4 linked regions of the Ovis aries genome follow. The protein of the gene in region 4 purifies or fractionates together with the protein of the main gene of each other region. This does not show direct contact. Links are inferred from orthologs where the notes say so. Each region holds a gene or a part of one and is shown on either strand. Other genes may lie near its edges. The genes, in order: PTGFRN, ITGA6, IGSF8 and CD9.

Evidence for each region.
Region 1: the proteins of CD9 (region 4) and PTGFRN purify together in Homo sapiens (co-immunoprecipitation; 8 studies listed by BioGRID and IntAct, with this or other methods). This does not show direct contact. The link is inferred for Ovis aries from reciprocal best matches to the Homo sapiens genes CD9 and PTGFRN.
Region 2: the proteins of CD9 (region 4) and ITGA6 purify together in Homo sapiens (co-immunoprecipitation; 3 studies listed by BioGRID and IntAct, with this or other methods). This does not show direct contact. The link is inferred for Ovis aries from reciprocal best matches to the Homo sapiens genes CD9 and ITGA6.
Region 3: the proteins of CD9 (region 4) and IGSF8 purify together in Homo sapiens (affinity purification with mass spectrometry; 5 studies listed by BioGRID and IntAct, counting the BioPlex papers as one, with this or other methods). This does not show direct contact. The link is inferred for Ovis aries from reciprocal best matches to the Homo sapiens genes CD9 and IGSF8.

Annotation. Positions count from the first base shown.
Region 1 is NC_056054.1:94,308,087-94,316,709, reverse strand, and holds the start of PTGFRN (prostaglandin F2 receptor negative regulator), read right to left. Parts: upstream 5,349-8,623; 5' UTR 5,040-5,348; coding exon 4,991-5,039; intron 1-4,990. UniProt on the Homo sapiens protein: Inhibits the binding of prostaglandin F2-alpha (PGF2-alpha) to its specific FP receptor, by decreasing the receptor number rather than the affinity constant. Functional coupling with the prostaglandin F2-alpha receptor seems to occur.
Region 2 is NC_056055.1:137,376,976-137,384,810, forward strand, and holds part of ITGA6 (integrin alpha-6), read right to left. Parts: intron 6,526-7,835; coding exon 6,394-6,525; intron 3,297-6,393; coding exon 3,086-3,296; intron 2,383-3,085; coding exon 2,189-2,382; intron 2,047-2,188; coding exon 1,958-2,046; intron 1,254-1,957; coding exon 1,135-1,253; intron 1-1,134. UniProt on the Homo sapiens protein: Integrin alpha-6/beta-1 (ITGA6:ITGB1) is a receptor for laminin on platelets. Integrin alpha-6/beta-1 (ITGA6:ITGB1) is present in oocytes and is involved in sperm-egg fusion.
Region 3 is NC_056054.1:111,123,344-111,129,935, reverse strand, and holds the end of IGSF8 (immunoglobulin superfamily member 8), read left to right. Parts: intron 1-1,962; coding exon 1,963-2,340; intron 2,341-3,136; coding exon 3,137-3,598; intron 3,599-3,898; coding exon 3,899-4,306; intron 4,307-4,510; coding exon 4,511-4,924; intron 4,925-5,255; coding exon 5,256-5,371; 3' UTR 5,372-5,386; intron 5,387-5,549; 3' UTR 5,550-5,805; downstream 5,806-6,592. UniProt on the Homo sapiens protein: Member of the immunoglobulin superfamily (IgSF) that links tetraspanin-enriched microdomains to the actin cytoskeleton and plays several important roles in innate and adaptive immunity.
Region 4 is NC_056056.1:209,985,123-209,993,679, forward strand, and holds the start of CD9 (CD9 antigen), read right to left. Parts: upstream 4,315-8,557; 5' UTR 4,174-4,314; coding exon 4,108-4,173; intron 3,711-4,107; exon of another isoform or gene 544-3,710; intron 1-543. UniProt on the Homo sapiens protein: Integral membrane protein associated with integrins, which regulates different processes, such as sperm-egg fusion, platelet activation and aggregation, and cell adhesion.

The sequences.
Region 1 (8,623 bases), on a different chromosome or scaffold from region 4:
TTTTCACTTAAACTAATCTTGCAGGGTACACAGCCTAAGATGATGGCGTACCTCAGTCAATCCTAGCTCAGCAGAGACCAAATTTGGGTCCTGCGGTCAAATCCTGGCTCAACCATGGATCAGCTGTAGGAATCCAGACAAGTTATTTAACTTTTCTGGCTGGCAGTTTCCTCATCTGAAACATGGAGAAAATAGCAGTACCTTTCTCAAACTGTTGTCAAGAGAATTCAATAGTCTGATGCTTGGTATGCATGTTATAAGTAGCAGCTATTATTACTCTGTGCCTGTTCTGAGTGGAACTCTGTGCAGAAGCTATGAAAAAAGCCCAAACAGGGCTTCCCTGATGGCTCACTGGTAAAGAATCCACCTACCAACGCAGGAGACATACGTTTGATCCTTGACCTAGGAGGATCCCACATGCCACAGAGCAACTAAGCTCGTGCGCCACTACTATTGAGACTGTGCTCAATAGCCCTAACTACCGATCCCATGTGCCCTACAGCCCAGGCTCCACAAGAGAAGCCACCGTACTGAGCAGCCTGTACATCACAACCAGGAGTAGCCTGCCCACTCGCCACAGCTAGAGAAAGCACTCCTACAGCAACAAAGAGCCAGCACAGCCATAAAAAATAAAATTATATATATATAAATCAAACACAATATTTAGTATATGGATACATGTACATTATATATGAGTGGCTATGCCTGGGCAGCGGGAGGGTGGGCACGTTCATCCTTTTACCTCATATTCTTTATAAGTGACACCGAGACAGCCAGCTGTCCCCCAGATCTGTTCTTCTCGTCTTCCACGGTGGTCAGCACACTGCTACCAGCTTCCTCTGCATTTCCCAGCCTCCCTGGCAGCTAGTGTGGCCTGGATCAAATCCTCTGCCCTGAAGTGTATGCAGAAGTGGTAGGAGCCACTTCCGAGCTTAGCCCAGGAAGCCTCTAGATAGCCCCCTCCATGCTCTTTTCCCTTTGTGCTACGCGCTCAGTCACTCATTGTGTCTGACTCTCTGCAACCCTATGGACTGCAGCCTGACAGGGTCCTCTGTCCAGGGGATTTTCCAGACAAGAATACTGGAGTGGGTTGCCATTTCCTACTCCGGGGGATCTTCCTGACCCAGGGATCAAACCTGCATCTCCAGTGTCTCCCACATTGGCAGGTGGATTCTTTACCACTGAGCCACCTGGGAAGCCCCCTATTTACGGGGCTGGAAAGGGGATGATGACAACCCAGGTGAACTTAGAAACTACAGGCTGAAGACAGCAAAACCACCATCAGCCTGGGAGCTCAGAATGCCCATGTGAAACAGCAGTCCCACCCGACCATTTCACTGGAAACACCTCCAACCCACTCCCCGGCCCCCCAGGAACGGCTAGGAAAGACACTTCTGTTGTTCGAACCGCTGCGCTTTCAGTCTATTTTGTGAGAACAATTCAGCCTACCCAATAGAATAATACAGTACCCATCTATGAAATTTGGATTTTAAAACAGATGCAATGTTTTTGTTGTTTAGAAACTATTTTGATGGGTTTGCAACTTTTTTAAAAAAGATGCACACGAAGAGAGAGAGTATCTTAATCCCTCTCCACAGTCTTCATACCTCCCACTCTCTAATTCATGCTGCACACTAGGACTGACCTCCTCAAACACATCACCATGCTGTCTCAATCTCACACTGCGAATCTGCAATGGCAGACCATAACCCACAGATAAAATGATATATACATGCCTTCATCCAGGCAGCCAGGATTTACCAAACACCTGCTCTGTGCTGGACACCCAGTATGAGCAATACTACAGTGAACAATACCAACCTGGTCCCTGCCTCATGGGATATAATCAGAGTGGGGATTTAGAGCAGGAAAAATCATCCACAGGGAGATAAATAAGTACTCTGATGGGAGAAGCACAGTTGTGCAGCAGCACCCACAAGGCCAACATCCAAATGGCAAGGACCTCAGCACTGCAGGAACAGCTTTGAGAATCCAACCCAGACCCACGTTTCCAATTTGCCCTCCTAGTGTATCCTCTGCCCTCCTCCAGTTTCATGGTACTTCCATGCCCTTTCTGAATGAACCATGTCCTTCCACTTATCCACGCTGGATGCCTTTCCCCGGAGCCTGGAAGCCTCTCCCATCTTTTCTCTCAAAATACTAATTATCCTCAAGGCTCAGCTCAAATGTCACCTCTTCAGCAAAATCAACCTCAATCCCAAGTCAAAATTAATCATCCTCTTCCTTGCTTCCTACCAGCACCTGGTTTCTATGTCAGGTATGTCATTCTGGCTTGTAGTTAGCTTTTATTATTAACTGTCTGCCCACCCCAACTGACCACTCAGTGAGACGCTATGTCTTGGTCATTTGTCTGGGACACTCTTATTGCCACAGTGGGGATTCAAGAAATGCTGTATATACAGATGGATGAGACATAGGCCATGGAAGTGAAAACCTGAAGCTGAGTGTGTTCTGCTGTGATCATGATAGGTAGACTCATTTAGAGAAGCTTTACGGAGGAAGCAGTTTTAAGGGGGAAAGGAAATAGGTAAGAGGGAAGAAGAAGGAGACACTTTCCCAGGTCATGAGAAATGGAAAGACCAGAAGGTCTACATACATTCAATGTAAAGGGTAGCAAACAAGTTCCTTAGAATGAGAAAGGCCCTACTCAGAGAGAAGTAGCAAGGAAGAGAATACAAGGGGCAGAACATCCTCAGAAGAAAATCATAAGGGATCATGGAATTAAGGTGCACCTCCAAAAACAATCCGAAGGGAGGCTGGTAGGAAAAGTCAAACAGGAAGATGTCAGATCTGTGTAGGGAGCTGTCAGAACTGGGGCTAGGACAGTAGCTTTAGATAAGGATGAACAGAAGATGCTGGAGTCTGCACTATAGGAAAAGCGACAGAGTTGAGGGACAGAGTGAATGTGGAGGTCAAAGAGAGGGACAGTAAGATTATGCCCAGGTTGCAATACAAGAGGAAAGATGATCTAGCTTATCAACATACTGGGTGGCAGGAATCAGTACAGCGTAGAGTATCACAGGGAGGGCATCTGAGAGGTCAAACTGAAGCCACACCAAGTGAGGTTCGGTATGGCAGAGTTATTACATAAACATGAAGTTCAGTAACTGTTAGGGGACAAGGCATTCACTGGTGACACCAGAGACATTCCCGGTGCATAGGTGACATGAGACGTCCAGCCAGGCAGGGTGCACTGGTATACCTCAAAGCTACCCCAAGCCGGGCTTTCCCCACTTCTGTTTTTGCTTTCGTTAGTCTCTCTTTGCCCTTTCTCTCTTTTCCTCTTACCATAGTTACTCAAAGACATTCTTTTCAAATTTCTACCTGGCCGCACCCACTTAACTAGTGCAAGGGTTGTGAATCACACAACTCTAGGGAGGGCCATTCACACAGGCAGAACGTGACAGCAGCTCCTAGAGTTGTTCCTAGAGTTGAGCAGTGTACAATCAGTGCAACCAGGGGCCGCGGCCCTGCCTGACCCAGACACATCAGCCAATTACGTAAAGGGTGTGGACTATCACCAGCAGTGTGCACCAGAGGGAAAACCTACAAGGGTCCCAGAGTGAAAGGAAGAGAATAAAAGCACTAAGATCTGAGAGCACAGAACAGATGCCACAAAATCAAGTGAAAGACGTGCAAGCTTTCTGCACCTGGTGGCATCTAAAGCAATGTGGTGGCTGGGTGAGCTCTCTTAGGGAGGCAGTTCCAGAAAACCCCTCAGAGGGGAAGGAAGAAAACACAGTAGCAGCTAGGAAGGCTGGCCCCCACCAGCGGCAGGAGTCACAGGGGTGGGGACAGTGTGAGACCCGATGCCAGGCTGGGAGTGGCAATGGAAGGCCTCCACTGGGACCCTCTGGCCGTAAGTGCAGTGTAGTCACTTAGCCTGTGTGCAGCTGGGGCCTGGCTAGGATAGACACCACACACTGTGTGGCTTTATAAAAGATTCAGTTCTGCCATCTCCAGGGGTGAGGAAGAAAATCCCCGCGCAGGTCACAGGATTCCTTCTGTTCTGGTTGACGCTGACTAAAGGCTTCAAGTACAGCTTTTAAGAGTCAGCCTCCCTGATCCACGGTGGCCACTTATTAAGCAGATGATTTCTGTGGCTGATAACCACTTGGTTATACTAATATAACCACATTATACGAGGTGAAGATGGTGTCTGTGTCTATGGAAGATGGGGGCGGGGTGGGGGGGAAACACCAAAGATTCCTTGGGTTGGGTGGAGGAAGCTGGGTCAAATGATCAGGAGGCACCGAGGTTTAGAGAGTGTGCAAGACAGGGGACATCAAGGGAGAAAAGTAACAGGTAGGAAAAGTTGAAGAAGCCAAGGCACCCAGGTCTTTGTGTGCAAATATGCAGCGAGGCAGCTTCTACAAGCGCTGAAGGAGAAGACTGAGGCAGAAAAGCTAGTTACAGCTAACACAACGGAGGGCCCCGCACACCCATTCTGACTGTAGCGCTCGGGGCCACCCGGTGACCTTCGGAGAAGGAAGTTGGTGGATCCTCTCGCTTCCCTGGAAAGGCAGCTGGGCGCGGGGTAGGGTGTGCGGAGCGCGGTTCTGCCGCTCTCGGCCATGGCGGGGCAGATGAAAGCCGCAGATTTCCGCTCGCAAGCCCGGGACTAGGGCCGGGACCGCAGGCACCTTCCGGGCCGGGAGTTCAAGGTGAGCCGGCAGCTGGCGACTAACAGGTAGGGAGGGCCGGGGGAAGCCGGCCGCGGGCCACTCCCCCCCTGCACATGGGGGCGAGGCTCGGCCTACAGGACGGCGACTCGCACCCCGCGCCCGGCTCCGGGCGGCCCCGCGCCCTCTCCCCAGCCGGGCCCTGCCTCCCGCGGACCCCGGCCAGGTCTCCCGGGAGCGGCCCCGGCCCCGTTGGCGCTCCAGGCCGCGCGCGGCAGCCGCGCCCCGCCAGTCCCCCCGCGCCCGGCCGAGCCCCCTGCGCCTCACCGGGCCCCGCGCGCACTCACCCAGCGACAGGAGCGCCAGCAGCAGCGGCCTCGGCGCCAGGCGCCCCATGCTCGCCGGGCGGGAGCGACTCTCCCCCTCCTCCTCCTTCCCCGCCGCCTCTCCTCCTCCTCCTCCTCCAGCTCCGGCTGCTCCAGAGTCAGCGCTCCTCCGCCTGGGCCGCGCGCCTGCTCCGCTCTCCTCGCGAGCCGAGAAATCCCAGCGCTGGGGCCGACGTGCGCCCCTCGCTCCGCTCGGCTCACGCCCGCCTCTGCCCGCCTCCTCCAGCCGGCCGGGCACCGGGAGCCGGGCGCCAAGGCCGCCCCGCCGAGCCAAGCTTGCAGCCCCGACCGCTTCCCGAAAGCAGGAGGGAAGAACCGCAGCACCCGCCCGCCCGCGCCTCCCATCCGGCGCTTTGCCAGCAACAAACACAAACTTTCCCAAGCCCCTCCCCGCTCCAGGTAACGGAGGCAGCGCTGGGACCACCCGCTTAAAGGGGAGGAGGCGTCGGAGCCCACCCAGCTCTCCCCCCTCGGGGCCCCCGCCCCGCCACAAACTTTCCTCCGACCTTTAAAAGTTGGCCTTGGAAAGACTCGTCTGGAAATCCCATCGCTTGAGCGCCATTCCTAGCCACCCCGCGTCCCACCACTCTGGAGTCCCCACGTGGGCCTCCGGGTCCCTCTGCTAACTCCCCGCACGGTCACCGACTCGTCCCGAACGAAGCACCCACCAACCAGCCGCTAGGACTTGGCTAAATATTATCCAGATAGGACTGAAAGAGATGAAGGGACTTAAACGCCGGGGATGCCAGCCTCCAAGGTGCAGAGGCGTGAAGTGTTTGGGTGCCTTGCCCGAAGATTCACAGCGAAGTGTCAAGACCAAAACCCAGATCTCACAGGCTCTGCTCACTGCCCTGTGGTTGGGTAGGCCTCGCCTCCCGTCGCCCACCTCCTTCCTTCCTTCTCCCGGGTGCCTATGGCACTGATTAACACTTACCACAAATAGACCCATGGTGGGGGGGTGCGGACGCTCAGAACCCAAGTGTATTAATAGCTTCAGTACTTCATATGGAATGTACTCTTTAAACTTTTTATTTATTGCTTTAAGTGGACAGAACTGGTTGCCAATAAAGATTCTTTTCTTCCCCTACAATGGGGCTTTGTGCTTTTAATTTGAATACAAAAGACCCAGTATTAGGGAGAAATTTTTAGTGTTCATTGTTTAAAACTTCTCAAGGATAATTCAAACACAGCACTGGTGTCCCCCACCCCAACCCCCCAGTGCCGCAGCCTCTCATTAATAAGTGCAAAACAAAGCACAGATGTTAGTGGGGAACTGCCCCAACTAGGGAGAGGAACTTTGCTTTTTACCTCAGTACATCATTATTTCCACTAACAAGTGTCTCTTATTTCCACTAACAAAAGTGCCTTTAGCCAGGTATGAACCCATCTGCAAGAGACTTAAAAATTTGTCCCTGATGGGCCAATAATGTGAGTGTACTTAATGCCATTGGACTGTAGACTTTAAAAACAGTTAAAATGGTAGATTCTGTGTTATATATGGGACTTTCTAGTTGCTCAGTGGTAAAGAATTTGCCTTCCAATGTAGGAGATTCCAGTTAAATCCCTAAGTTGGGAAGATCCCCTGAAAAAGGAAATGGCAATCCACTCCAGTATTCTTACCTGGAGAATCCCATGGACAGAGGAGCCTGGCAGGCTACAGTCCATAGGGTCGCAAAGAGTCAGATAATACTTAGCAACTAAACAACAACAAAAGGTTATATATGTTTCAACATGCTAAAAAAATTTTTTTTAAATTTATTTTTGTCACAAGCCTTTTTTCATGCTATTCACCCACCCAGCAGTTCCTTTGCATTTCCTATCCCATGGAATCCTCTAGAATTTCTCTGGGAAGTCTTTCAATTTAATTCAATCAGCCTTAAATGCAAGCCTCATGTTAGGCCTTGAGAGATGCTGAAGCTACAGAGAAGAGTAAGACCTGACCCCTCCAGAAGCTCAAATCTTTCCCTTTCTTAACTACCCACAGTGCTTAACATTTGAAGCACACATTCTGGCACTTGGTCACATTCAGTTTAGCCCATGCTACGCACTGAATGTACTGTGTCCCCCAACCAAACTCATATTGAAGCCCTAATCTCCAAAGGTATTTGGAGGTGGGGACTTCAGGGCGTAATTAAGTCCAGAGGATGGAGCCCTCATGCATGGGATTAGTGCCCTTATAAGTAGAGACGTGAGAGGCATTATGCCTACATCTATGCTGTGTGAGGGTACGGCAAGGAGGCATTTGTCTGCAAACCAGGGGAGGGCCCTCACCAGGTACTGAATGGGCCAGCATCTTGATCTTAGACTTCACAGCCTCCAGAAGTGGGAGACATAACTGTCTGTTGTTTAAGCCACCCAGTTCATGATATTTGTTATATCAGCTCAAGCTGACAGCAAACACGGTGCTCCCATCTCTGTCTAATAGTGGGAGAGAGAGACTGTCATGTGCTCGTTTTATGTCTCACATCACTGTAGAGTCGATGTTTGCTAAGAACTTTTGTTTAACAAAGTGCAAGTCAGGAAGTATGCTGTCACATGGCGGGTCTTCAGTAAATATTTGTGGAGTAAACTAATGCCACTTACTGGGCTCGAGCCTGGGGAAACAGAGGTGAATAAAACCGTTCCTGCCCTTGAGGTGCGTGCAGTCTGTGCATCCTGACTCAGCACGTGTGACAGCACTGCCAGATGCAGTTGTCAGTCCTGAGGAAGCTTGTCCAAAAAAGCTCAGTGGGGATGACTGTGAACCGAGTCTTGAACGACCAGCAGGTCTCTAGCTGTGAGGAGGACGGATGAGCCAGCAATAGCCATTGTGTGGAAGGTATTCTTCTCTCCTCCCTTCCCCACACCCAGATATTATTAAATTAATGGTGCATCTTACAGTCATTGAAACAGCAGTAGTTGGTTGAAATGGAAAGAAGAAATAAGACAGTCCAGGCAGGGCCAGAACAATGAGGACAAAAGTGGATGGTTTCTTGGTAGTGGGTAGTCAACTGTGTCATGTCATGAGAGTCAGCCCTAGATAACCGTTTATGTAGCAGAAAATGAGGCTAAATTAATCACTACAGGTGCTTGGACATAGCACCACACCCTTTGCACAGCCCTGACTACCAGAGGATGGAATATGTTTCCAGCTAAAGGAACATAGCACCTGAAACCGACCGACACAATGTGTTAAGTCATAACTCTGGAATGTGATGATGCTTTCATTATAAAAGACTTTTATTAATATTTCCCGAGTCAGTAACCCCATGTATAGGTAAGGCTTTTGCCCCAGACAATTGTTCCCAGTTTGCTTAGTCTGTAGGCTTGCCTGGGGCAGGAAGGCTCACTCTCCAGTAACTGATCCACACCCATCCCCAAGGAGGGGAGTCCCACCTCTGTAGGTTTCCTGCCAGATCACGGAGACCCTCAGAGGCTCAGGTTACAACAGCCAACCCTTACAGTCTTTTGATTACTGGGATCTGTCTGCAGGCGTTGCCCCTGAAAACCCCTGAGGGTCCCACATTCTCACTTGTAACAGGTGTTCCTGCTGAGATCAGTAAAATCACCTTACTGGTTAAAGGTGAACATGCAAATGTCAAAAGGTCCCAATGA
Region 2 (7,835 bases), on a different chromosome or scaffold from region 4:
ATGAATACAAAAATGTGCTAACCTTGATCCCAGCAATTCTATTTCTAGGAATTTTTCTTTAAAAAATTCCATTACATGGAGATATATATATAATACACCATCTAACACACTGTTTATAATAGCTAAAAGTCAGACTATCTAAAAATTCCATCAACCAAGGACTCATTAAATGCATATTATGGAATAACATTGAGCTTTTAAAAAGAATAAGATTGATATATCTGCATTAACAAGGAGAGAAAATGGAAGAGGTTAATTTTTACAAACCAGAATAGAAGACAGCAGTTATAGTATGGCTGTTTGAGGATACCCTAGAAGTGGAGAGAGACTCAAAACTATTAAAAGTTGTTTGATGGAGGGAAAGAATACTGGAAAACTTGCACTTAACTGCAATTCTGTATTAACCTTTTTTTAAAAAAAGAAAAAGAATATGCTACTTTTTAAATTAAAAAAAAAATGTTTTGCACAATTTTTCCTGGCAATTTCCAGCAGTGATGGAATTGTTGGGATAAGGCCACTGAGACACAGCTGATGGGCAAACCGCTGCAGCCTTTCTGGAGATCATTTTGGTTGAAGGAATCACAAGTCCTAAAACACACATGCCCTTCAACTTCGCAACTCACTTTTAGGAAGTTATCATAAGGAAATAATCTAGGACATGAAGAAAAGTAAGGATGCTCACCAGCTTTGTGTATTAAGGAAGTAAACCACCAAACCTGGAAAGCAACCTAACTGTCCAATGACAGTATGACAGTATGGCAGTTGTTAAATAAACTATGACCCAAAATAAACAACCCAAAAGTTGTTAAATAAACACATGACCCATGTAATGTCTCAGGCAACCGTTAACTTCATTTCAGAAAAGTACTCAACGACAGGGAAATAACCCACTATGCATTATACTCACTCACAGAAAAAGGCCACTATTCATTACAAACCAGCAAAAGCAGGTTACAAAACGATATGTACATTACAATCTCAATTTTGTTAAACATGTATATTCACAGGAAAAAACCTAGACTTTGCCTTTGAAGTACAGTTGTTACAAATTCCAATTCAAAAGGTCAAAAAAAAAACACCCAACTCTAGTGTAAGTAGATTTACCAAACAAGCTTAAAGCCAGAGATTACATACCTGAATATAGTCACTGAATCTGAGAGGGAGCCAACAGCAACATCAGGGTAGGAATTTCTATCAAGGTCCATGTTCCCAGCAATTGAATATCCAAAAAAAGGTGCTTTACCCTCAAGAACCTGAAAGGAACAGGACATCAGAACAGACACCTGGCTACTAAGATAAGTCTTTCATTTATGCTATGAAGATAAGTCTCTTTTGAACTGAAGTTAAAGAGTTTACTTACAAATTATATTAAATCACAACTGAATTATAAATAAGTACACACATGATCAAACATTCCATGCATTTTATTTTCACAAAAGTTACCTGATTTATGGTGTATCTCAAAAGACAGAAGAGAATTTTTGATAACTTTATGTACCATATTAAGTCAATCAGTGTATTTCAAACCAAACTTCTCTTCCTGCCCTCCAAATGTCTTATTTTCCTCTAAAGCAATTTCTAGATTTTGATATCTGATTCTCTATGCAATTACAATCATCTCTTATGTCTGTCCAGTTTCATCCCTTCTTAATATGCTACTAAAGAAAATATATCACATTCTATCTCTTTATGCTGTCAGGGTAGAAGAGTCTTTTCCTTTGGCTTAGTTTGATCCTTAGTTTACCAAAGAAATTTTACAATTTAAAACAAGCAGCTCATTGCATTTAAATCTATTTACAAGCTATCTTCTAATACATTTTTTATAAAACCAAAGTTCATACTATTTTAGACTTGTAAGTAACACATGATTAGTGTGAAAATTCACATAAACCTAAACAATCCATTGGAAAGAAAACTACTGAGAGCTTAACTGTAGAAATCCAAGTTATCTGGTTACCTGTGTTGGTTTGGTATTTATTCCATTCGCAGATCCATGATAGATAAAAACCTTCCCCTTACCATCATAGGGTGCTCCAACTGCAATATCTGTTAACAACACCACGTTTTAACAAATGTCACATTTTAAAAGCATTCCAATACAATGTTTTAAAATAGATCATGAGGACTCACTATTTTAGACAATCACATAATCTATAAATCATGACCATTTCACAATCTATTTGTCTACCTGGGTAGCCATCTTGATTAATATCACCAATATTTTTGACTGCAATGCCAAACATAGAATCTTTGGTTCCATTAAGACGAATCGGCTTGACGTTATTCCATCTGCCTTGCTGGTTAATGTAGACATATGCTGCACCTCCAACTTCTCCACTTCTATCAAAATACTGTGGGGCTCCAATAACTATATCTTGCCACCTGAAAACATAATGAGGGGAAGAACTGTAAACCACTGGCCAAAATATCAGCAAGCTTAGGGAGAATTGCACATGAACGGGTACTAAGGACACAAAGAGATATGATAAAAAGGACCTCAAATCTGGAATTTATATCTCATCAATTGAAGTATTTTTTAAAAAAACTAGGTAGCCTCTAATAACACCCAAAGGAAAACATGAACTGTAAGAACTTGAAGCCAGTTTCCAAGTTACATCTATAGTGCAGAGAGCCTCCCAGTAAAGATTCCACTCCCTTCCACCTTTGACCCTCTACCAAAGACCCAGATTGGCACTATCAACCAGAGACCTTTGTATCAACTTTGTCACCAATCCCTACTTTCAAGAGGACATTCTGGCTGCTCCAAAATCCCCTTAAGAAACCACAGAACAGAACCACATAGCTGTCATTTTTTTTTTTTAAGTTAAATTTTAATTCTCACAGACCCATGATCCTAGGACATAGTAAAAACTGAAGCCTGAAAATGTAATCCTACATCCTAGGGAGGGTAATGAATGTCTGCTACCAAAATATAAGTGAGGAAGACTGATGGGATGGTAAAAATTTGGCAGCAGAAATATTCTTTGCATCAACTAACCTGGAAAGGTATTTCCTCTCAACACCTATAGAAGCCAGAGCAGCAATGAGTTCTTTGCAAATGTAAACTAACCTCAGAGGCTCTTACCCGTCTTTGTTGAGGTCCACCACTGCCACGTCATAGCCAAATGAAGACGCCAGCCCTTCCCCATCAAATATGTGCTCAGGGAGAAGGTGTGCAGACTTCAGGTCTCTTTTAAGCAAAACCACAGCTCCACTATGATTGGCTCTAGGAGCACCAGATACAAAAGTGATCTCATCTTTGGAAACAATACCTTTCCCTGAGTCCAAAGAAAAGCCTAGAAAAACAAAACATGGTACTTATCAACTCTGTTTTTCAGGAGGTATGTAACAGTGGTTACTTCATCACTACCTTTCGTTTCCCACCACTCTCCTTCTGACCCTCCCCCCAAGCTATCATATCTATGATAAGAATTACAGCACCAAGAGATTTGACTCAAGCACAAAATAGTAGGTGTTTCCCTGTTAAGGTATTTAAAGAAAAGCACCTGTGCTAGTTAGCATTTGTGTAACTTCAATCATGAAGCATACATGCTGCTTAAGAATCAGTTCAAACTCCATTCCAATACTGAAACTGCTGTAAAAGGAGATCAAGCTAGATACTAAATTATCAAGGGAAAGTTACATCCTGTACACCAAGATGCAACCTGACATAGCATAATTGAGTGCCTATGGGTCTTGCTATAATGCAGTGATTAGTTAACTTCTATATTCATCAATCTCTCTGGTCATCAGGCAATAAAAGAATGCTAACAACATTAATATGCCACAGCCAGCATTTTACTCCTTAGGGCCAACTTAGTTCTCAGACAGAAACATGCAAACAAAATCATGACTGATGAGATTTGAGAACCTAGCGTAAACAATAGAGGTGAGCAAGCTGTCATCCATATCAATTACACACTTGTTCGGAGGGCAGAAAAACATTAGAAACCTCATCATAAAGCATCAGGTAGGATGTCAGATTACCAACTGAGGTTAAATGGCAAACAGACACAAATGTCCACACATCAAAATTGTCCAAATAAAGCAAACCTTCCTATGTGAAGATGAGGCAGATGCAGAATATTATAAGCTCACCCTTTTAATTGGGTTTTGTTTACGAAAAGCATCACCACTACTGCTGCAGTTCTCAAATTGTGAAGTGAGTTGAAAAACAGGAAGAGCTACAAGTTTAGAAAGGAGACACAATTGAATCCAGCTCTGGAAGCCATTCTGGCTGCAGAGCCTCAACAGCGGCATGCTTTTTGTGTGTGCTTCACTTGAAATGAAATAGAAAATAAAAAGATTTATGCTCTGTATGGATCAAAAAAAAAAATTCTTAAATGACCATGACCAAGACTATTTATTTGTCATCTCAGAGGTCACAAACCTAGGTAGCTATTCATCATCACATCAGGGGATGTGTCGGGCTGCTCCCTGGGAGGCTGTGTTTTATAAACAAACTGATCGGGATCTGTATAGGAAACGCTGGTCAAAAACAGCAGGCCTGTACACATGCACGGGACAGAAGAGATTGAAGAAAAAGCAATTATGCTTGGTAAGAGGCACACTGGCTACTGCCGTGCTCGCAATGATGAGGCCACCGCTGCATCCGAAAGCCACCCTCTTTGCCAGCTTCCAAACCTCACACAGATCATTTCCCTCCTAAAACCTGCTGATTTTTTTGAAATGACAGATGCACAGACAGCCAAAATGTAGCAGTAGGAATGTGGCACTATTCTCTCCACCCCGACCCAGTACCCGCTTTTGAGGAAACCCATTCTGAAAGTGGCAAATGTGTTTAATAAAAAAAGTTTAATAGTTTCACGTGTTCCAATAGACACTAAGATAAAATCCATGGGCATCTATCTTACGAACAAAAGTGTTGGCTTCTTGACCAGAGCCATTAAACTGAAATGGCATAAACTAATCCCTTAGTAACTCATTTGAAGAGGTTTTCTGTTAAAATGTATTCAAATAAAATATTGGCTTATTGATAGTATTAATATTTACCTTGAAAATAATTTTACCCTGGAAAATCCTATTTAATAATTGAGACTGCAAACCACTCAGCCCTGTGTTCCCCTCCTGTCCTGCAAAGCCACTGACAGCATTCACATACCCAGCTGCTTCCCACCCTGTCCCAATCATTTTCATGAGCATTTCTTCCCTTGGCTGGGGGATTATTAATTGTGTGACCTCGGACTAGGAAATTTCCCTCAGTCACAGGGATTTTTTCGCCCATCAGCAAAAGGAAAATAATACTTATTTTATAATATAGTTGGAAAGAACAAATAAAACCTATAAAGTAGTAAGTAACAGTGTGTGATTTATAGCATACAGTAGGTGCTTAACAAATGGTAAGTATAAGTTTTCTCCATTCTATGTCTTCACATCAAGTTTTTAGTTTAGGGGTGGGGGAGTTTCTGAAAAGTTTTTTTTAATTAACAGTATTGTTCATACATATCTATATAATTATAACAATTTTTAAAGAATATGTTTACTAATATCTTGTTTAGAATTATTTTTAGATCTACACCCATTTATTTCCCCTCTGTAACCTTCCATTGTTCTAGTAAGATCTCCAGCATATGGTACTTCTCTATTTTTTAAAAAGAATAGGATACTATTTAGATTTAGTAGATTTTTTACATTTTTTCCAAGAATTACACAGTAATTATTCTTTATGTCAACTCATACCAAGAATTAAAGCTTTTAAAAGCCTTTGTGTAATTACCATAATGCACATGAATAATTTAGGACACCCATTAGTAACGCAAACAAGCGTCAGGAGTTAAGGAATTGGCACTTAGACCACAATCTGGGTGTCCTCGGAGCTGCTTTAGCAGTGCGGCTCTGGCTCGGCTGGAAAGCCCCCCGTGCCACCCACCAGGGGCCTTGTGACAATCCAGAAGCAAGGCCAACCCTTGGAGAGGGGCAGTCACAGAGGATGGACCTGGAGGTCCTGACCTGCCACTTAAGAATAACTTCATAAATGCAGCTCTTCAAGAGTATCTCTCCGAAAAGAGACTCTGAAGGGAGAGGAAGACAACTCGGCCTCCTGCTTACAAGCATGCATTGTGTCACGGCTGCATGGACCGCCTGGTGCGGGTTACAGAAGTGGACGGTGGCTCAGGAAACAGACCTCCAGGCAGGTCAGAAGGTTTTAGGAGACAGTAGGTTTCCTCCTGCTTTGAGGCAGCTCGGGTCAGATACCCCAAGTATCAGTCAGAATACCTCAGGGATCACCAAGCTCTAAATTCCACTAAATGCAGCCACAGGCCCCCAGCCCCAGTCTGGCCCTTTCTCAGCCTCGCAGTCCAGGGTCCTGTGACAGCAGTGTCACACAGAGGCATCTGAGGAGGCAGGCATGTCATCTACTCTCATGCCTACCTAAGTAACTGTTAGCAGGAACAGGAACTAGACTTTCATCATGATCAGTCTCTCCACCAACTTCATAAGGCCCATCTTCAAAGATGTTCATGTCAAAAAAAGTGTTATTCTTTTGCTCTACGCGAACAATCCCTAAAAGAATGAAATGGTAAAAAAGAAAAAAAAATGAAGATGAAACAAAATAAAATAGATGGTTCTAATAAACATTCCTGATGTTATCATTAAGTTCAGAAAGAAAAATTTGGAGGGACAAAAGGCAGAAGGTGACTTCTGAGGTTATTAAAGTTAAAAAATCCTGTTTGTGTAGATTTTTACATCAAACAAAACTGTTCTAGTAATAAAAAAAATGCACACGTGTTTTCATGAATTATCTTTTTAATGCCATGAAAATGGAATTATAGATGGAAAATGGAATGCTTAATTAACTAAACCTACAGAAAACTCTTTAATTATATGAACCTGATATATTTTATATTTTCTATAATCCTAAATCAATTTACCTTCTCTACTATGGTGTGAAAGCAAGATTAGTATTTTGATATTTTCTTCCAATCATTTTTAACCAGAGATTTTAAATCTTCAAAAAATTTTCAGACCTAATCATTGAAAAGAGAATATCTCACATAATAAGTCTACTATATGATTTTTTTTTTAAGTGGTAACATTTTAAGTCAGCATTTACAAAGCAGGCAAGATGTATTTCCCAGAAATTAAAACATACATAATTGGTGGGTGTTTTTATTTTGTTTTACCATGTATGCCGTCTCTTGCTAAAATAAAACTATTTCTAAATTCCGTGTGTTATTAGGTCAAGATAACCCAACAAATGCTGCTATGTGGAAGATTCAGCTCAGGGTGGGTAGCCTGAGGAAATTATTCCCAAAGGTTGCTATGAATGGCATACCCAGGAAGGTGCTCAAGGACCATTCCTAACAGAAATCAAAACTTGGAAATTTCTGAATGAACAATGAAAAATTTTCCCAATGTTTTTCTGACTATACAAAATGTAAGAACATAGGATTTATTCCAATAAATTTCTTCCCCAAAAATCTTATTTCTGAATCAGATATATTACTCTTTGCTATGAATTAGAATCAGGTAAATTGTCCTTTATAATAGAGCGGTTTTCTACATCTGCTTAATTTTTTCAGAAGTTGAACTTTTATTACAGGGACACGGATCGTGTTCCTCCAGGCAAAAAATATGATGTCGTGCCCTTCACCTACATCTTGAAATTATTTAAACAATATCATTCAACAACCTTTCCACAAGTTATCTGCGATCATCTCAAAACTTCCTAATTTCTTATCTTTCTAACTACCCTGCTTTATTAGCAAAACATAGCCCGAGTAATATATGACTAAAGAAATGTCTGTATCAATATAATATTATTTGTATACAACACCACTCAATTCTTCTCAGTTTTCAGATCCCTATGTTAA
Region 3 (6,592 bases), on a different chromosome or scaffold from region 4:
TAGAATGAGTCCTCTCCTTGGGGCGCTAGGCGGGGCCATACAGAGCAGGGAGCTGTGGGCCCTGGTTACCTAGCACTGGGCCTCTTTTCCCCAGTGGGCAGCGTGGCGCGGAGAGGAGCCCAGGGTAAGTGTGGCGCAGAGAGATAAGAGAGTCTGTGGGATCTGAGTGTCCTGGATGCGGGCACTTACTGTTACTTTGAAGGTGAGGAAAATGAAATAACTTGCCCCAGAGAACACACTGAGTGAGTGTTGGGGCTTGCATTTGAACCCACACCAGAGACCCGAAGCAGGTCTCTATGCTCTCCTTTCCTTCTCTGCTAACCCACAGGAGGGGGCCTGGAGAGAGCTCCCTGGCAGCTGGTTTCCCAAGGCGGTGAGGGTGACTTTCCCATGGGGATCTCCAAGCATCAGCAGTTGTGGAGCCAGGAAGATGGGAGGGGGCCCTCCTGAGCAGAGTCTGCCCCTAGGCCAGCTCCGTCATGCTGATTATGAAATGCCCTGAGGCAGGGCCCTTCTGAGTCACAGGCTATCTCCCTGTCAAAGTGGAGAGCTCCTAGCTCTCCTCCAGTGTAGTGTGGATGGGGCTAGTCCACAGGGTACAGCTGGGATTGGGCATGGAGCTGGAACTCGGCTTCGGCTTCCAGACTCCCAGCCTGTGCTCTAACTGAGCAGCCACGAGGTCTCCCCATGACTCAGCCGCAGGGAGAAGACGGAGCTATGGGGAGGGCTTCTGGAGGACAGTCTGACTACAGACTAGGTGTTTTCCTCCCGCCCCTGCAGAAAGGTTAGGGTCTGTCCCTGGAGTGATGCTCTGCTTGGTGAGGCCATTGCCCTCAGGCCTCCCCTTGTGTGTTCCCATTGCCTCTGGCCAGCCAAGGATAGTAGGAACTTGGCCAAGACATTCTACTTCTCATACCTTACCTTTCTCATCTGTAAGATGGAGGTAGAGAGTTGACCCAGCCCTCCTTGTGTCCTGAGATTCTGTGATTTGGGGCTGTGGAAAGACAGAAGAAGAAGCTGAGCCGTCCAAGGCCACAGGGCTACCCTTTGAGGGCAGGCTAGGGGTGAGGGTGGGGTGAAGAAGAGTTTTGGCCTCTCTGAGTAGAGAAAGATGGGAGGGGACAACCGTGAGGGCGGGTTGGGGGCTGGGTGGTGGTCGTTACAGCCTCCCTACAGAAAGCGAGCCGTATGTAAATGAATGCACACTATATGCAAATTAAGGCTTTTGTTTAGGGGGTGGGGGGAGGATTGTGTGTCAGCTGGGCCTTCGGGGAAGGTTGGCAGGCACTGGTGGGGGAGGGGAGCCTCTGCCCCCAGAGCCCAGGGCAGAGGCTGGTTCTTGCCCCATGAGCCTCAGCTGCCTCGGCAGCCCCAGAGGGCGGAGAAGCAGTGAGCTCATGACACAGCTGGAGAGGGGGGAGGGATGCTGTGGTGAGAACTGACAGGGCCTGTACCCTCTCCTGCCCGGGCCAGTGGCTCCATTGTCTGGAGTCCCCTGGCCCAGGTGACACAGCTGGGCCAACCAGCCCTTCTGATCAAAGTTTTTCCAGCTCCTTTTAAATAAAGGAGGGGGACATGTGGTCTCAGGATCCCTTAGCTAGAAGGCTCACCTGGTCCGCAGACAGAAGAGTGGGGTAATAAGGGGAGGTGCAGCTGGAATCAAGCAATGGTTAAATCAGAAAGCAGATACACCCCTTCCTTCACTTAGCTGCTCTGCTTCTGGCCTGCCAGGAACAGGGATGATTCTGTGTTCTGAGGCTAACCGGCTCTCTCCCACCACCTCCTTGAGACCCAGGTGTCTTGCCTCCCAGCATCCTTTCCTGGTTCTCAGAACGGGGCCCAAGCTGTACACCGAGTGTCCTCGGGTTTCCTTTCCTTTCACAAGCAGGCAGCAAGGATGATGCGGGTGCTGGGGGGATGCAGTGAGGACCCAGGCGTGCCTAACTTCGTCCTTCCCCGTAGGAATTGGGTGCTGTGCCCGGGAAGTGCTGGTCCCTCAGGGGCCCCTGTACCGCGTGGCTGGCACTGCCGTCTCCATCTCCTGCAATGTCAGTGGCTACGAGGGCTCTGCCCAGCAGGACTTCGAGTGGTTCCTGTACAGGCCCGAGGCCCCAGAGGCTGCCCTGGGCATTGTCAGCACCAGGGACACCCGGTTCTCCTACGCCATCTTTGGGCCCCGAGTGGCAGCTGGCGAGGTTCAGGTGCAGCGTCTGCAGGGTGATGCCGCGGTGCTCAGGATCTCCCGCCTGCAGGCCCAGGATGCTGGCATTTACGAATGCTACACACCCTCCACTGATGCCCGCTACCTGGGCAGCTACAGCGGCAAAGTGGAACTGAGAGGTACTGGGCCCTGAGAGGGTGGGGCCACTCTCTCCCAAAGGCAGGAAGTCAGGGCCAGCCGCAACTCAAGAGGGACTTGAGGTCCAAGGAGGTCCCCTAATTTGACTTTGTGCAAATTAGTGACTGGCCTGGGACTCTAACCCAGAACTCTTCATTCCAGTCCACAGCTCTTATTGAGGAGAGCATGGCAACCAACTCCAGTCTTCTTGCCTGGAGAATCCTCATGGACAGAGGAGCCTGGCAGGCTACAGTCCATGGGGTCACACAGGGTCAGACACAGCCGAATGACTAAGCACAGCACAGCTCTTACTCTATCAAGCGGCTTCCTGGGAGACGGGGAAGTGTCCTGAAGCTTTCCATTCCCTGGAGGGTGGGGGAGCCCCATAGGGTGAACAGACTCCATGCCTGGAGATTTCAGGATCCAGATCTGGGGGAGGAGTGGGGAAAGTAGAGGCAGGGTAGGAAGAGGGAGACCATGTGACATTCTTGCTCTCTTAAGGTTCTTTGTCTTCCGGGAAGGAAGACAGAGCCACTTAGCTGAGTATTTCAAACAGGGGTCACTCTCAAACATAAGGGTGAGTAGGCGATGAGCTGGTTCTATGAAACTCAGCAAGTATTTACTGAGTGCCTGCTGTGTGCCAGCACTGGGCTTGGCACCACTGGGTTACAGAAGCAATGATACAACACGAAGTCTCTGCCTTCTAGGATCTCACGGTCTATTTAGGGAAATAAGATGTAGGTGGAAAACAGCTCACACAGGTCAACAGCGCCCCCTCACTCCACCTGCTCTCTCTAGTTCTTCCAGACACGCTGCAGGTGTCTGCTAGCCCCCCGGGGCCGCGAGGCCGCCAGGCCCCGACTTCACCCCCTCGCCTCACAGTGCATGAGGGGCAGGAGCTGGCACTGGGCTGCCTGGCGAGGACGAGCACGCAGAAGCACACACACCTGGCCGTGTCCTTTGGGCGGGCTGTGCCCGAGGTGCCTGTGGGGCGAGCGACTCTGCAGGAAGTGGTGGGGCTCCGGCCCGACCTGGCAGTGGACGCTGGAGCCCCCTATGCCGCACGACTGGCAGCCGGGGAGCTGCGGCTGGGCAAGGAGGGGTCCGAGCGGTACCGCATGGTGCTGGGCGGTGCCCAAGCGGACGATGCAGGCACCTACCACTGCACTGCCACCGAGTGGATTCAGGATCCGGATGGCAGCTGGGCCCAGATAGCAGAGAAGAGGGCTGTGCTGGCGCACGTGGATGTTCAGACACTGTGTGAGTGCCTGGGGTCCCCCAGTGCCAGCTGGGAGCCAGAGTATCTCAGGGACCCTAGAGGACCGTGGTCCGAGACCTCGAGTGAGCAGTCTCGTTAGCATTGCTTCCCGTTAGCATCTGTCCCCATGATGGGTTTTCTCTGCTCAGATATGGGTGTGGAGATGGGAGGGCCGCGGCTGAGGGTGAGAGTCGGGCCCCCGGGTGGGAGAGATGGGGGGCAGTTTCCTCTTGTCAAGGGGGGACAGGTGCTCCGTGCCCTCTCCTGGCTCCTTGACACCTCTTTTCCTGCCTGTGTTCCAGCCAGCCAGCTGGCAGTGACAGTAGGGCCTGGTGAGCATCGGGTCGGCCCAGGGGAGCCCTTGGAGCTGCTGTGCAATGTGTCGGGGGCCTTGCCCCCCCCGGGCCGTCATGCCGCCTACTCTGTGGGCTGGGAGATGGCACCCGCAGGGGCACCTGGGCCCGGCCGCCTGGTGGCCCAGTTGGACACGGAGGGAGTGGGCAGCCTGGGCCCTGGCTACGAGGGCCGGCACATTGCCATGGAGAAGGTGGCCTCCCGAACTTACCGGCTACGGCTGGAGGCTGCCCGGCCTGGGGATGCGGGCACCTACCGCTGCCTAGCCAAGGCCTACGTCCGAGGGTCTGGGGCCCGGCTTCGTGAAGCCGCCAGTGCTCGCTCCCGGCCCCTCCCCGTGCACGTCCGAGAAGAAGGTGAGCGGGGCAGGCTGGACCCTGGACAGGTTTCGGGGTCTGTAGAACCTTTCCCTTCCGTTTCTGAGCCTCTCTCCCTCTCCATCAGCTGCTTCCATGTCTCAGCCTCACACTCCTCTTCTAAGATTGTGGGAACACTGAATTTCTGGGGGCTCAGAAAATCCCATGTGCCCTGACCTTTCACCTCTGACCTTCGTTGTGCAGGTGTGGTGCTGGAGGCCGTGGCCTGGCTGGCGGGAGGCGCAGTGTACCGCGGGGAGACTGCCTCCCTGCTCTGCAACGTCTCCGTGCGGGGCGGCCCCCCTGGGCTGCGGCTTGCTGCCAGCTGGTGGGTGGAGCGGCCGGAGGAGGGGGAGCTGAGCTCTGCCCCTGCCCAGCTGGTGGGCGGGGTGGGCCAGGACGGTGTGGCGGAGCTGGGGGTCCGGCCTGGAGGAGGCCCCGTCAGCGTGGAGCTGGTGGGGCCCCGAAGCCATCGGCTGAGACTGCACAGCTTGGGGCCTGAGGACGAAGGCGTGTACCACTGTGCCCCCAGCGCCTGGGTGCAGCACGCTGACTACAGCTGGTACCAGGCGGGCAGTGCCCGCTCGGGGCCTGTCACAGTCTACCCATACACGCATGGTGAGTGACGCCCGCCCTCTCCTCCTTGCTCAGGCCTCCCCCCATCCCCCGCTCTTGTTCTCTCCTTTGCATCTGATCCTCCCACTAGCTGTCCCTCTGGTCCCTCTTTCTCCTCCCAAAGTCCAGCTTTCGGCCGTTCGCCACCCAGCTGCTCCAGTGTCCTGGTGGTGGGTACTGGCTTGAGTGCAGAGAAGGCAGGGAGCCGGCAGAAGACTGTGTGTGTGGGGGAGGTGGTGTGGACAGCTTGACAGAAGGTGCTGGCAGATGGGTGGGACTGTGGGTGGAGAGCAGGGACACCCCAGGCTGAGCAGAGCCATCCTCTCTCGCCCAGCCCTGGACACTCTGTTTGTGCCCCTGCTGGTGGGCGCGGGGGTTGCGCTAGTTGTCGGAGCCACCATCCTCGGCTCCATCACCTGCTGTTTCATGAAGCGGCTGCGGAAACGGTGATTCCTCCCACCCCAGGTGAGGGGTGAGAACCCCCAGCCCTGTCCTCCCCAGTCCTGAGATGAACGGCTCCCTCCCTGGCCCTACCCAGCCGCTCTCAGCTCTGCGGGACCCTGGCAAGGGCCAGGAGGGAGTCACGCTCTCCCTAGCCCCCTCACAGCCTGCTCTCCTGTTCCTGCAGATGTGACTGTCTTCCAGCCCAGCCGCAAGCCTGCCTTTGGTGTCTGAATACCCTCTCCCTCTGCCTGCCCTTCCTTTAATTTATTTGACCGACTCCCACCCAGAGTGGGAGACGTGACCCCCCCATCCCCCACGCCTTCCTTCCCAAGCTCCTCCCTCTGGCCTTCTGTTCATGATCTCATACCCAGCCCAAAGAGAGGCAGTTCCCTGTCCTAGAATTAGTTTTTCTAAAATGTGAATAAACTTGTTTTATAAAATCCGGGCTGGCTGTGTCTTCCCTGCCGTGGAGGCTGGGACGGGTGGCAGGGAGGCTGCTGGGGGCTGACGGCCTCTTCTGGACAACCCGGGTCGCTCTTCCCCCTACAAACACCATCTGGCCTCCGTGGGCCATGCCACCCACCCCAGGAGGGACACCTGGGTCCCATCTGCTGTCCGAGCTGTCAGTGCAGAGCTGATTCCTGTAGGGATTCTTGCTTGGGGCGGGAAGGGGGGAAGGGGGGTGAGTTCCAGCTGAGCAAGCCTTCGCCTCAAGACTTCTCCCAGGTTGCAGGGCAGGGGCTTCCAGGGCCCAGCACCCCCCTTTCTGAGTTCCTGTGCTACTCTACAATCTCAGCCTCTTGATCAGGCTGATCTTGGACCTGACTCCTCCCCCCAGGCCCTGGGGCCTCAGCCTTTCCCTCCTGATCTTCATTATTCGGTCTGACAGCAGCAGAATGGAAGCCCCAGAACACAGCCGCCTGGGTGGCGGGCGGACAGCACTCAGAGGAGCCCCTACAAAGCCCCTGCTCCTCCTGGCTGCCCCCCATCCCCTCCCGTGCCCTTGGGGCTCCCGGAATTTGTCTCTGCCTAAGGATTCTCTGATCTCTTTCAGCTCAGTGATTTAAACATTTATTGAGCATTACCAGTTTGCCAAGTGTTGTTTTTACAGATGGGGCAACCGAGGCTCAGAGAAGTGACGCGACTTGCCCAGAGTCATAGAACTAAGTAGTGGCAGTGTCAGGACTCGAACCTGGGTCTCCAGACTCCCTGCGCCGCACACAGCGG
Region 4 (8,557 bases):
ATGCAGAAATCGAACCCAGAGCTGCTGGTGCTCTGACCATTGGGCAGCACTTCCATGAAACGCTCACCCAGGGGGAGACCTCACCCAGGAGGACTGGAGGTAACTCCAGGGTTAACAGGAAAGAGAGGCAAGGCTCAGGTCCCAGAAATAAAGGTCAAATGAAGCCACTCTGTGAGCCAAGCCTGGGTACCCACTATACCCTTCCATTTCCGGACTCCTATTCTGGGTCGTGTGGGAATGTCCTTCGCTGTAGGTCACGGGGGTGGGGCTGGTTTCTTAGGCTGACCTTTTGGGACCATTTGCTCCAACTCACTGGTCTTACAGATGAGGAATCTGAACTATGGAGTTCAAAAGTGACCTGCTTGGTTACTGTATAGCACAGGGAACTATAGTCACTATCTTCTAATAACTTATAATGGAAAATAACTTCAAAAATAATAAATGTGTATGTGTATAACTGAATCATCTTGCTGTGTGCCTGAAACATTGTAAGTCAACTATATTTCAATAAAATGTATATATTAAGAAGAAAAAAAAAGTGACCTGCTCGGGACTTCGCTAGTGGTCCAGTGGTTAAGACAATGCTCCCAATGCAGGGGGCATGGGTTCGAGCCCTGGTCGAGGAACTAGATTCCACATGCCGCAGCTAAATAAAACACACACACACACACACAAACAAAAGTGACATGCTCAAAGTGGGCTGAGGGCAGAGCTGACTAACACCCAGGTCCCTGATCTCTGGTTTCCACGAAGCCTGTCTTAGGCCCAGGAGATACTGTTTCTCTGGAAAGAGAAATTCCCCGCTCTTCCCATCAGTGAGGGAGGGGACAGGGATGAGGTGGGGGGACACAGTGAGCAAAGGGGCAGAGGGAGGTGAGGGTAGAATGGGAAAGCCTGGCCTGGCCCAGCTCTGGTTCCCCACTAAACAGCTGAGGCTGCCACTCTGGCATCACAACAGGTTTCCCCTCTCAATCTTTTCTGGAGGGTGGGTGGGCAAGCAGGTCAAAGGAAACCCAGAAACAATTAAAACAGAACTGTGAAGTTAAGAGTTCTGGGGCCACTGGAAGGACAGAGTGACTGCTGACTGGGCTGCAGGCACCAGGGGTCTTACTTTGGGGAGTGAGGGGCAGGTGGTGCAGGCTGTGCTGTCACTGAGGGTCCCTCAGGAATGAGAGTGGGGGCCAGGGAAGAGGTACATCCTCCCTCCTTGATTGCCCTTGCCATCAAGGTGGGCCTCTCCTCTCTGGATCCCTGCAGGACCACCCGTCTCAGCATCCCCTGGCCATGAGGTATGGGTGACTCCTACCCTCCCAACTCCTGCTCTTTAAGGCCACATCAGGTTCCAAACACTAAATTTATAAATTCTGAGTCTCAAGACAGAAAGGGAAGTGACGACATAACGATCCAAGCAAGGAGTTCCCTCAGGTCACAGCTTCCCTTAAAAATCACTTTTTGAGGGCTTGTTGCCACCCTCTTGTCATTCTCATCCAACTGGGTATGGTGGCTAGAGGTGACAGAAAGTGCACTGGGTACACTGCAGCCCATCAGACTTGTTTTCAAACTTATCTCTGTTGCTCTCCAGCCATCTGACCCTGGCTAAGTTACAGAACCTCTCTGGGAACTGGTTTCCTGGTCATTGGTAAAAACGGGGGTAATGCTTTCTGCTCTGACCGTATTGTGGAACTTGGAAAAGGACTTTGCAGGCTGTACCGTGCTGCACAAGGGATCACAGTGTTCCTTTACTCCATCACCTCCTAGGAGATGAGGGCTTCATCTCTATAGGGACCTTAATACAGGAGTACTGAACAATGGGCTTCCCTGGGGGCTCAGTGGTAACGAATCTTCCTGCCAATGCAGGGGATGTGGGTTTGATCACTGGGTCGGGAAGATCCCCCGGAGAAGGAAATGGCAATCCACTCTAGTATTCTTGTCAGGGAAATCCCACACACAGAGGAGCCTGGTGGGCTACAGTCCACGGGGTCATAAAAGAGCTGGACACAACTTAGCGACGACACAACAACAGCGACAACAATAGCTGATTCAGATTCATGCAGCTATTGCTTACCCCCCACACCACCCGTTGCCAGGCCCCCTTGTTGGTTTTGCGATGGAGAAGTAAGAGGACAGGACCTAAAGGATCTAGGGGCTGAGGTATTGGCTTGGTTCCCGTGATGCTGATCGGATCAGCCCAGTTCCGGTTCCCACTTCTTTACTGTGAAGAAGTTGGACAGGATGACCTCGAAAGTCATTCCTAATTCTACACCCAAAATGAGTCATCTCTGTTTCAGGTGACACTGCCCATCAGCAGCACTGATGCCCAGGTTGGGGCAGCTCTGGACATGGGTGGGGTGGCAGGCTGGAGGCTGCCGGAGAGGTCTGGGAGTCGCCCACCAGGCTCTGCCAGGCTCTTCTGTCCATGGCATTCTCTAGGCAATAATACTGGAATGGCTTCCTGTGCCCTCCTCCTCCAGGGGATTTTCCCGACCCAGGGGTTGAACCCATGTCTCTTGGTGGGTTCTTTACCACTAGCGCCACCTGGGAAGCCAAGGAGTCACCAGGGGACTAGCAGGGGAAAGAAGGTGCTAGGGAGGGGCTAGAGGAAAACTCCTTAAAGGACTAGGGTGGGGAAAGGCGGGGCTAGCCCGCCTTCCACATTCTTTTCTGGTGTCTCGGTGGGGGTGAGGAGGAAGCCAGGTTGGCAGCTAGCTGGGTGGCTGCTGGGACTGATGGGAATGGAGGGTCTCCCTAGAGCAGGCCCTGGACTGGGCAAGGCACGTCTATGCTCCACCTTCACTAGGGCAGGTGTTTGGTGTGATGACTTGAACAAGGGCAGGTCCATCTCATACCCTGTCAGCTCCAGGGAGAGGAGCAAATCTTGTGAGACTTTCCCCTGGGGCTCATGGGGAAACAGATCCGAGTGAATAAGTAGTTTTGTTACAAGCCTCCTGTGGCATGCCCCTGCTTCTATAGCCATCTCTCTCTGGAGAGCGGCACAGGGTCTGCCTTTCCAAATGCCTTCCTAATGGCAAAGGGGAAAAACCGTCCACCTGTGAGCGGGGGAAGTGACCCTGGAACTAGGACACCAAGTCCCCTACCCCTTGCCTCTGTCTCTGGGGGGCCCCTTAATCCCCCTAGGGAGGGCTCCGAGGGGCCTCTCCCCTTCCCCGCTGCCCGCCTCAGGCTGCCGTAGGCTGAGAAGCTGCCAGTAGCCGGCAGCGGGAGTCCTGGAACTCCCAGGCCTGCGTCCTCCCCAGGTGACAGTCCGCTCCCGGTGGCCCCACCCGGCTTCTGGGTGGGCTGGCGGGGGAGGAGGTGGGGTGGCCACCTGATCCCTCCCGGAAATGGAGAAACACGGGACTCATCCCACGCGGGCGCCGATAAGCATCGGCCCCAACTCTCCCCAACTGCCTCGGAGTTCTCTCCAGTCCAGATACTTATCGCCCTTTGGGGAAAAAAAAAATCAAGACAAGCTAGTCTTTCAGGTAGTTTCGAGGGAGCTCGGACTTTCTCACGCCGGCTCAGAATCAGTCTGAGAGGTCGGGGATGCAGGAGGGACCCCGACTTTCATTCACGAATGGGGTCCCGGGATGCCGACATCCGCGGTTGGGGCGTCCCTTCCCCTCCCGTGCAAACGTGCCAACAGCTCTTGGCTGAGCGTCCCTGGCGAGTCATTAGTCCCTTTTTGCGTCCGCATCCTTCCCCTCCTCGCGGCCCCGGATACTCGGGGGACCCCGCCCGGGTCACGAGCCGCACAGTCCGCCACAGCCTCCCACGATCAGGGCCTTAAGTCCCCAGCAGAGGGGTGCTCTGATTCTTCCTCCTGCACTCTGAGGGGCTCGGGGTGGGAGCATACACCAACTCCAACCGCAGCTCATCAGGGCTCTTCAGCCGCCCGCCTCGCTTCGGACGCGCCCCGGATCAACCCGCCCGCCCCGCCCGTCTCGACTCGGGCCGAGGAGTTAGCTGGCGGCCGCAGAGCCCTCTCCTCCCCGCCAGGAGTCTTCCCCGCGCAGGCGGGGCGAGTGCCCGGCAAAACCGATCGCGGACTGAGTGCGCCGGGCGGACAGGTGGACCCCGAGAGGCGCGCGCGGCCGTCCACTCACTCACCCAGAAGATGAAGTTAAATCCGAAGAGCAGGTATTTGATGCACTTGGTGCCTCCTTTGACCGGCATGATGCGAGCTAGAGTGGCCTGGGTTGGACAGATGTGAAACGGGGCCGCGTGAGGCCGGGACGGGCGGGACCGGGCTGTGGACTGAGGTGCGCGCGGCTGCTGGCTGGCCTCGGGGCTGCACTTTTAAAAAGTGCCACTCCTCGGGCGCGCGACGCCGCGGTGCGCATGTGCCGGGTCCCGGCCCCGCCCCGCCCACGCCCCGCAGGCCCCGCCCCCGGCCCACCTGCCACGCCCCGCCCAGGTCCGGGGGCCCGCGGCTCGTCCCGCCTCTGTCTCAGTGCTCCCCACCTAGTTGGCCGGACCTGACTTCCCGCCTTGCCTTCCCTTTTCTCCCAACCGTCCTGGAGTCTTTCTAGGCCGTCATCCTTGGCCGATTTCATCCTGGAATTATGTGAAGGCCTCACTCCTCTCGGTTCTCTCCTGGATTCTGCCCCTCCCGAGCCCTCTGCCCTAGGGAGAACTTCCCCGGTGGGTGGTGAGGGCAGAGGCCCCTTACCCAAGGTGGCGCGCAGAATGAGGGCTCTTCTTGCTTGGGGCCCGATTTGAAGAGAAACTGCCCTGTTTCTGTCTCCCTGGGGTGGCTCCTTGTACACTTTAACTCTGAAGCACACTCTTCACTCGGCACATGGAGGCTTGCCTTCCGGATGGGAGGATTCGTAGGGGCTTATGGAAGTAATCCTGAAATACCATCAATGAATAGTGATAGGTCTGAGAGCTGGACAATGTGGGGTTGCTTCCTGGATCTGTGGTTTAGATGCCCCAGAGAAGAAAAAGGCTGTAGCCTGGCTTCTGTTCTTGCCTCTTCTCCTCATCACCCTCCTTCTTGCCCTTGCCACTGCCCACTGTCACATCTTTGAGCTCCTGTGCCAGAGTTCTTAGGGTGTTTCTCCTCTGCTCCAAAATGTCCAGCAAATGACAAATGTTGGTTAGGATGTGGAGAAAAGGGAACCCTCCTCGATTGTTGGGCTGTGCTTAGTCACTCAGTTGTATCCAACTCTTTGCGACCCCATAGACTGCAGCCCACCAGGCGCCTCTGTCCATGGGATTATCCGGGCAAGAATACTGGCATGGGTTGCCATGCTCTCCTCCAGGGGATCTTCCCAACCCTGGGATTGAACCCAGGTGTCCCGCATTGCAGGCAGATTCTTTACCATCTGAGCCACCGGGGAAGCCCCCAAAACTGTTGAGAGGGAATACAAATTGATACAACCATTATGGAAAGCAGTATGGAGGTTCTTTAAAAAATTAAAAATAGAACTACGCAGCAATTCCACTCCTGGGTATTTGTCCAAAGAAAATGAAAACACTATTTGGAAATATATTTGCACCCCTATGTTCATTGTAACATTATTTCTAGCAGCCAAGATATGGAAACAACAGAAGTGTCCATCAATAGATGAATAGATAAAGAAAAAAAAATATATATGATGAAATATTACCCATAAAAAGAAGGAAAACTTGCAACCACATAGATGAACCTAGAGGGTATTTTGCTAAGTGAAATAAATCAGAGAGAGAAAGACAAATGGAATCCAAAAAAAAAAAAAAGTATAACTAACCAGAAACAGATACAGAGATACCAACAGTTGGTTGCCAAGTGGAGGTGGGTAGGGGGAGGAGAGAAATAGGTGAGGGAGATTAGGAGGTACAAACTTTCAGTTGCAAAATAAATGAGTCATGGGTATGAAATGTACAATGTAGGGAATATAGTCAATAATTATGTGATATCTTTGGACAGCGACAGATAATAACTAGACTTACTGTGGTGATCATTTCAAAATGTATAGAAATGTCGAATCACTATGTTATGTATGTATCAGGAACTGACACAATGTTGTAGGTCAATTATACTTCAAAAACAAGCAAACAAGCTCAGAGATAGAGATTAGATTCGTGGTTACCAGAGGTGGAGGTGGGGAGATAGGAGAAGGGGAATTGGATGAAGGCAATCAAAAGGTACAAACTTCCAGTTGTAAGATAAATAAGTACTAGGGATTTAATGTACAATACGATAAATATAATCAATAGTGCTGTAAGTTATGAGGAAAACTGTTAAGAAAACAAATCCTAAGAGTTCTCAGGACAATGAAAAACACGTAAATATTTTTCTGTTTCTTTCATATATGTATATGAAACATGGATATTCACTAAACTTACTGTGGTAATCATTTCATGATGTACATGAGTCAAATCATTATGTCATACACCTTAAACATATACAGTGCTGTCCGTCAATTATATCTCTGTCAACTAAAAAAGATGCACAACGTGAGAGTTGTGAGTTAAGTTTTATTTGGGGCAAAATGAGGACTGCAGCCCAGGAGGCAGCACCGCAGATAGCTCTGAGAGACTGCTCCAAAAGGGCAGTGGGAGGACGGTCAATATACAAGATTTTGGTGAATGGGGAGTTTGATACCATCAAGCACTCATTTTATGAAAGGTTTTCTGCTAGTCACGAGGATTTGATGTCATCATGAAGGGATTTAGTGCTTTTCTAGATAGAAGATGGCAAGGATTGGAATCATAAAATTTGTTCCTGAAAATATCCAACTGTATGAAAACCAGTTCCACCAGGTTCCTTGGAGCACAGAGTGCCTCACTCTCCACCCTGAACCCCCTCCAGGTGTTTACGGTCAGCAGCTGCAGCAGTGCAGGGCTCAGTCTCTGCAGAGGCAGATGGCAAACGCCCTTGCTGTTCAGTCACTGGCAATGCTCTTGGAAAGTGCCAGTTTGCAGTTGACATCTCAAAGAAACAGGAAGAAAAAAATACTTTCCGCAGCTCTCCTACATTCAATGACTTAAGTCAAAATTCCTTATTTTGCCCTCCACAGCACCCCAGCCCTGCAAGTGGCATGTGGTGTGTTCCCTCTGGCTGGCTAACCATCCCCTCTTCACTTGTAAAAATTCCATGCCTCCTTAAACATTCCTTTCCTGGTTCTCACCAAAGGATAAGGAGATTTCCTCTACTTTTAAAAACCCCAAACCCTTTCCCATTTTTTTTTTTCAAAATGAAGTTTCCTTTTTTTTTTAATGACAAAAGCAAAACCTCCTTGATTACCAAAACATCAGAAAATACCAATAGGCAAAAAGAACCTAACTCAAAATAACACCTACCCGAAACAGCTTGTATTACCCAATTTGAAATTATATTTTGCTCTGTTTATTACCACTGTTACATTTGTCTCATCAATTTGTTCATTCAGGGCAAATGTGGTTTCAGTGTCCAGGCACATGAGGGTATATTCTTAGAGCAGGAGGGGACTGAGCCTGTTACATGACCGCAAGGAGTGAGGCTTGAAGGCCAGGGGAGCTCAAAGCAAACTTTTGACCCAAACAGGGAAGCAGGCTGCATTGAAAAGTGGTTGTAATCAAGGGAGGATTGGGCAAAGTTAGGGTAGGGGCTGTCTGGAGTCTGGGCTGGAACTCACAGTAGTGGGGAGGTGTGTGGGGAAGTGAGGTGGGCATCTGGCTAGAGGTGCCTCCTGGCACTGGACTCTGCCCTCAGGGGTGAGGGATCACTGGTGGATTTAAGCAAGGGGAACCTGTTTTGCGTAGTTGGGTGGTGGGGGAGCAGGAGGGGCAGGCAGAAGGCTGCTTGACTCTAAGGACCATTGTCTGTGTCTCCAGAACTTGGCTCAGAGCGCTGGAGGCTTAGACTGTGGCTCAGACAGTAAAGAATCTGCCTGCAAAGCAGGAGACCTGGGCTTGATCCCTGGGTCAGGAAGATCCCCTGGAGAAGGGAAAGGCAACCCACTCCAGTGTTCTTGCCTGGAGCATCACATGGACAGAGGAGCCTGACGGGCTGCCATCCAGAGTCGAAAAGAGTCAGACACAACTGAGCGACTAATACTGAGAGGCGAGAACATCTGTGGTTGGGGAGTGAGGCAGCTAGAGATGGAGGTGATCTGGAGACCCACAGAGGTACATCAGGAGGATGTGGGTTCAGGTCAGAGACCCAGGGATGAACTGAGGTGGGACAACAGAGCGGAGGCTGGAGAGAAGGCGGCAAACAGGGAGAGGGGATGAGTGTGTGAGGGGGCTGCCAGGGGAGGTCAGAGTCAGGGCAGCTCATTCACTTCTTTTTCGGGTGTTTCTGGGGAGCCTGCTGTGTGTCCTGGACACAGGGGATCCTGAGAGGACAACGCCCTCTGTCTCACCTGGAAGAATCCCAGTGCAGGCCAGACTAAGCCCCAGGAGTCTTTGCTCAGGGTGTAACTGAGCAGGACCCTATGGGGTCTTCCCCAGGACAGGCCTCCTCCATATCCTCTGATTTAGCTCCTCTCTGAAGTACCCTGTTGTTGCTGTTTAGTTACTAAATCTTTGTGACCTCATGGAGTGTAGCCTGCCAGGCTCCTCTGTCCATGGAATTCTCCAGGCAAGCATC